2 linked regions of the Coturnix japonica genome follow. The protein of the gene in region 1 purifies or fractionates together with the protein of each later gene. This does not show direct contact. Links are inferred from orthologs where the notes say so. Each region holds a gene or a part of one and is shown on either strand. Other genes may lie near its edges. The genes, in order: RSU1 and PARVA.

Region 1 (2,612 bases):
TCTCCTCAGTGCTCTGCCAGAAGCTCTAATCCCATTATGCAATCCAAGAACCCCGAGGCTGAAGTATCCTCCAGGTGCTGCACAATAAAGCTCAGAGCAGGTGCAAGATTTTAACCTCCCAGCTCCAGCAGCTACAACCTCTCTGTGCCTGCCATAAATAGCTCCACCAGAGCCACACTGTGTAGCGTGGTAACTCAAGGGTATCTCTGTCTCTTTGGATTCTTGTTCAACGTCTCTTGCATGAAGTTGGCCACGTAGTCCACCAGGCCCTGTCTAAGAAGCTGGGCAATTCCTCTGCTTCTGAAAGTAGTTTCAGCCTGGAAAGTAGAAAAGGTGACTCAGGTAAAGAGTTGCTTTATCTCTGAGTTACACACTCGGGCCATTAGCCACTGCAGAACTATGAAGCTGAGTGCCAAAAGCGTAGTGACACAAGGGACCTGCACCTTTACCTTCTTCAGCAGCAGCAGCAGCAGTCCTCTCAGATTGCAGAAGTCAGTGCTCAGCCTCTTTGGCAACAGCCGAATGTGGCACGAAGGTGAGCTGTTAGCAGGGGGACACCTTCCAGGGGGATGTCAGTGTTTGTGTCACCATTCCAGCTGTTTGTACAGCTGAATGAGCAGAAACAAGGCCTGTCCCTGCTCCCTTCTGGGTACACTGACACCCCCGCATAGTGCATCTTCAGAAAGCACTGTGTGCGAAGAAGGGAAGTTAGGTTTGAGCTGTGCTTATTTTTGGTGCTTTTAATTTAGTTTCGTTAGGATTACTCATAAATTATCTATTAATTACTATGTGATATTTAGCAAGATCCTCTCAGCCATGTAGTCTATTTAGCATTGCTATGAATGCTTGCTGTCTTAATTGTAGGATACTTTGTCAACATTTAATCAGTGGTACTTACTAATATGGCAGTGATGTGTTGGTAGCTGTCCCAGTACTATCAATCATGTGTGAGCAGCAAAGAAGGCTGTGACACTATTGCTCTCTGTCACATTATCAAGCCCTTGGGTTTTCTGGTTAGGGATGATGCTCACTTTGCTTTAAGAGAGCACTCTATCTCTCCAGCTCAACCCAATTTTTGTCATTGTCGACTTGAATATGCGTCGTCACAGTGCTCTGTGCTTCAGTTCCATAACTGCCAAGGAAAGGCTGCTAGTTTCTGAAGGCAGAGCTGATTGCTCCAAAAGCCCCTACTCCTCCTGGTGTTACTCTGGTAAGTCACAAACAGACTGGTAATACGGACTGCAGCATGAGATCTTACAGAGGAATCAATGTGTTGAGACAAAATAAATGTAATGACCTTCCGTGGTTTTTTATTTCTAGTAACCATATGTCTCATTGAACACGCCGCAGATCAAAAGCTTGTATTTAATGGTTTGATAACAAATGTTCTTTGTCTCATTTCCTTGCAGTCTTTATGGCAGACACATGCAAGCGAACCCTGAACCTCCGAAGAAGAACAATGACAAGTCAAAGAAGATCAGCCGTAAGCCTCTCGCAGCCAGGAACAAATGAGTCTCCAGCTTGTGCCTCTGGTTTTATATATTTTTTTACGTTTCTTTTGCATGTGCCTATAATATTCCAGCACATCTCCTATTACTCATATTGTAAGGAAGCAGAGACTAGAGGTAAAAGCAATTTACCGCATGTGCTGCTTTAGAGGATACTGCTTAAGGAATACCAAATTACATAGTCTCCTAATTACGGTCACATTTATGTAGCCATTTAATATATCACTGTCAAACACATTTTAGCTTTTCTATTTATACACATGTTAATGCCCTCTGTTCACATGTATCACATCCTGTTAATATCAGGGGTTTGCACCTATATTATACGATATTAAATTTCACATCATATTCCAAACGATTTTAATAAAGGTCTCTATTTGTACTGCGCTTTGATTTCTTCAGTAGGACTTCGGAGCAGCAACGTTCGTGAAGAATGCACGTGTCCCGTTTCCTGCGATGCGTTCCTTTCTTCCATAGGAATATAATGACATTTTGTCTGATGTGAGTTAGTTAAAATTTAAAGCCTTCTGTTCGAGGACGTAACATTTTTAATCAGTTTCAATTTATTTTTTCCCATGGCTGTGCCCTGCATTTTTGCCTTGGAGGTTATTTTGAAACCAGAGAGTAAGGGAAGAGAAAGAGGAAAGAAAAAAAAACCTTATCTTTGTAAGGAGCTGCCAATTGCCAGCCTCAGTTTGGGGAAAGTGAGCTTTCTCATTTGAAGAAGATGGTACTTCTGCCAATTTTTTAAAGCAATTTTTTTTAAAGCAGAAGACCCAAATAATGTGTTTAATCTCTGCCATGAAAACGCTGTACTGAAGAGCTGTTCCAAATGGCTGTTGAAAATGCCACAGGTGCTATATTTATCCATACAAAACCCGCACCAAAACCAAGCTCAGAGGCTGCAGTTGTGAAGCGATTAAACAACAAATTGTTTAACATCTGAAACAGCTTCGGGTCTTATCGGTGTGAGGGAAAAATAATAATACAGACAGCGGTTTTCGAATGGTTTTAGTCTTGCAAGAGCAAAATCTAACCAAGCATCTCAAGGAGCAGGAACTGGGCTGCTCCAGTCAGGACCTTCCTGCTCCCTATTTCCATGGA
Region 2 (3,830 bases), on another chromosome or scaffold:
CATTCTCTGAGCGGAGAAAAGCACAACCAAGGTGCAGCCTGATGACTACATTGAAATTCAGGATGTTGAAGGAAATAAAGGAATAAAGAATGATAATTTTCACGTTCTACATTTATCTCTATTTAAAAAATAACAGCATTCATGAGACTTCGTTCAAGGCATCTCACTCGTAACCCTATGGCATTGTCTACTATAATGAAACTCTGAGATACCAGAAGGAAACAATCATCTGAAGGGAGACGGTAAGCGAGGTGGGTGTCAGTCTCTTTCCTCAGGGATAAGTCACGAGGAAATGCCCACAAGTTGCACTGGGGAGATTTCAGCAGGATAGCAGGAAGAACTTTTACACAGAAAAGATGGCCAGGTAGGTGTTAGAACAGGCTGCTCAGGGAAGTGGAGGAGTCAGCTTCCCTGGAGGTACTTAAGAGGATGTGGTACTAAGGGACATGGCTTAGTGGTGGCATTTTTTGATCTTAAGGGTCTAATTGATTCTATCATTCTATCTTCCTGAGGTAGCTTATTTTGGTTCAACCAACAGAACTACGACCTCTCACCTTAGGGAGTACTTTTTGGATATATGCTTCAGGTGTTTCCAGGCATGTTTGAATAACACTTCCTTTTTTTTCCATGCAATATGCAAGCACAGTAACATTTGTCTGAAAGCCCTTACAGATCCTTTCCATCTAAAACTCAATTTTACCTTTAAAAAACCTCTATCAGAGTGAAAGTAAGTCAGATAAATCAGAGATCCTTAATAGCACATATCAAGACATTAAATAAAGCCTGTTGTGAAGACACCAGTTTTTTCTTCTAGTGTGGGTAGCCTCCTTCCTGTCTGACCTCTTGCTGCAATTGTTCATATAGGGATTTTTTCATACCACAGAATAAAGCTTTTCTTTTAGCTACTTTCTAGCCAATTTAGCATCTGAGAACAGGAAAAGAAGACCATGCACTACATTATTTCTGTGGTGCAATCAAGCCTGCAGCTCAACTGTACAGCTGCCTATACACTCAAGCAGCTTCTGTCTCAAGAATGCATCTCACTGAATAGAACCATTGTAATCCCATGAGATTACTTGCTAGTGTAAAGGTAGGCAGGAAACAACTGTTCATCTTGAAACTGTATCAAACCGAGCAGACAGAGCCTCTCCTGATCAAAACAGGCACATGTTCTTCTTACAGCACTTAGCAGCACCCAAGAGGTAGCATCTGCTAACTAATTTTTATGCTAATTAAAGTACAAAACTGTTGCTGCCCTTATGATTTTTCTGCTTAATTGGTGAGGGTTTTCCTCATACGAATATATTTAAAACTGAAGGGTTTCCCACTGAAAAAACATCTCAGAGCACGATCAATAACAATTCAGTTATATTTCTGTATAAAGCTGGGGGCACGGTGCATTGCACAGCATGAGTGACCCTCTCCTTCAACAAAAGCTACAAAATCCTACCTGGGTCTCCAGTTCAGTGACCTCCAAATTCAATTTGTTGAGATGCTTGTTCACAAACGTGATGAGAGTCTGAAACATGAAAACAGTTTAGTGAAGGTCTATTCAGTTGAGCACCTGTTCCAGACACAGAGCACATACTGCACTGAGAATAGAACTTGCAAGAGCAAGGAGACTGCGGTACAATTAGGCTCTATAACTGAATTATGAGATTTTCAAAAACATTTTTTTTTTAAAAATAATGATAAATTGAAATAAAATAAACATGATGTATATGAATAAAAAATCACTGTTACAGTACAACAGCTTCAAAAAAGTTATCTTGTGGCAGATTGTAGGGAAGTGGGTAATTGGACTTCACTCGAATCTGACAGGAGCCCAAATCCTCCAGGTCAGGCTACTGGCAGTTGTAAACTCCATACCTTTTTGGCATCAGTAAACTCAACCAACCCAGCTGGGTTTTAATCAACACACACTAAGAAGTAAGAACTTCTTTTTGATGGAAACTTTGAGAAACTTTTTGTTGTGTGTTCCATAGTTAAGTTAATGTTGCTAAATACTATCAAAAAGAAACATTATAATAATAAATCTCTATTTTTGTTTTCAGCATTAAGTTTAATTGTATTTAATGTATGCAAACAATGAGTATTTTATATTATATACATACACTCACACTACATATACACACACAAGCATGTAGACACAAGCTGTACTTATTAAAATAGAATCATTCCAACCTTCTTTACTACGTTGAGCTTGTCTGGAGCATGGTCAAATAGTGTGTCAAATGCATCTCTTTCTGAAAAACAGTCAGAGATGTTAATATGCTTAGAAGCATTTGTCCAAATACAGGATAAACACTTGATTAAGCACACAATTGTTTAAGACAACGGAATCAATAAAATGTCTCAGTATAGTCCCTTTGTATTCCAAGTACTATATATTTTGCATATTTCTCTCTTGCTTCAGGCTGCTTGTAACTTATTCTCTATTATTTGGAGAAAGCACTATTTCCAAGTACAACTTGGACTACTTAATAACTTTGTTTCTCAAAAATGAGCAAAGAGTAGAATATTTATCCATTGAACTTTACACAGCCAGATGCAGGGAGCTGAAGTAACCAACTTATTTTGTTCAGAAGAATATGACTTTACATCTGGAGTTACTACAGAGGAAAATTTTCCCCAGAGGCCACAATATGCATATATCGCTCAGCTGACTGCTACACTGTTACTAACCACCTCAACAAGCTTACAACTACGCAGCTGTAAAGAAATCTTTTGCATACATGTTTTTGGACTATTCTGACATGAAATTTAGGACATGATTAGCAGGACGGGCAACATAAAGTAAAATGACTGCAGCAGCACTGTGGTTACCTTCTGAAGAGGAAAAAAGAGAGAAAAGAAAAAGAGCAATTGCCATTTGGACAACCACATGAGTGATAGAGAATGACCCAACAAAAAGTTACATTGATATTCGTCAAAGAAATGCTGAGTACATCCAAGAGCATTTGTAGAAGGCAGACATTATAGGAAGTAAGGCTGCTCTCAGATATCATGGGAAAATGTCATGCCTCCAGTCTTTAACTCAGCAGTAAGGCAACAACTGAGACAATATAGGAAATAAATGCTGAATTCTAGCTGGGTGTCCACCTAAGCTCCTCAGATGGCTGTGTTGTGCTGGGCAGGCATTTGGCCAGTCTCAGTACAAACCTTGAGACTTACTGGCTCAGAAACACGCTGAAGAATGACCTTAAGTTATTAAAGTGTAAGCAGGTAATGGATACAAGAATGCCAACATGTTCACCAGTGAGTTTACCATAAGATACCATTTAATATTATGCTAGGAGCTTATGATCATTAATACTATTTCAATAATGTTCTGGAGGCTAAACCATAAACCACTTGCAGACTAGCATGAGATGAGAAATACTGAAATGCATTTTAAAGATGGTCACGCTGATTTCAATGCTTTTCTCCCTTTGTTAACTGTCAGAACATCCTGTGGCAGCTATATTCATATATTTGCCAGGGCAACTAGAAATCCTCTAAATCCTCGCAAACTAATCAAACTGACCATTCATTCCAGAACTGATGTACTCTTTGGATGACTTAAGAAGATAACAATGAAATGAACTTACCATGCCTTCCTGAAAATGCCCTATGGAAAACAAAACAAAACAAAACAGAACAAAACAAAACAGTTAAATACATAATCCACTTGCAGATACTGTGCTGCAAAATAAAACAGTGTATCTGGTCAGATCTTTAGCTTGGTGAAAACTGGAGGAAATTCATAGGATTAAGAAAATCCTCATCAAGTTATTCCAGCTGAGACTTAGGATTAGTCTGGAGTAAATCAGCACAATATCTCCTGGATT

What was found.
Region 2: the proteins of RSU1 (region 1) and PARVA purify together in Homo sapiens (affinity purification with mass spectrometry; 3 studies listed by BioGRID and IntAct, counting the BioPlex papers as one, with this or other methods). This does not show direct contact. The link is inferred for Coturnix japonica from reciprocal best matches to the Homo sapiens genes RSU1 and PARVA.

Annotation. Positions count from the first base shown.
Region 1 is NC_029517.1:18,291,171-18,293,782, forward strand, and holds the end of RSU1 (ras suppressor protein 1), read left to right. Parts: intron 1-1,409; coding exon 1,410-1,512; 3' UTR 1,513-1,890; downstream 1,891-2,612. UniProt on the Homo sapiens protein: Potentially plays a role in the Ras signal transduction pathway. Capable of suppressing v-Ras transformation in vitro.
Region 2 is NC_029520.1:12,245,467-12,249,296, forward strand, and holds part of PARVA (alpha-parvin), read right to left. Parts: intron 3,611-3,830; coding exon 3,591-3,610; intron 2,247-3,590; coding exon 2,185-2,246; intron 1,520-2,184; coding exon 1,451-1,519; intron 1-1,450. UniProt on the Homo sapiens protein: Plays a role in sarcomere organization and in smooth muscle cell contraction. Required for normal development of the embryonic cardiovascular system, and for normal septation of the heart outflow tract.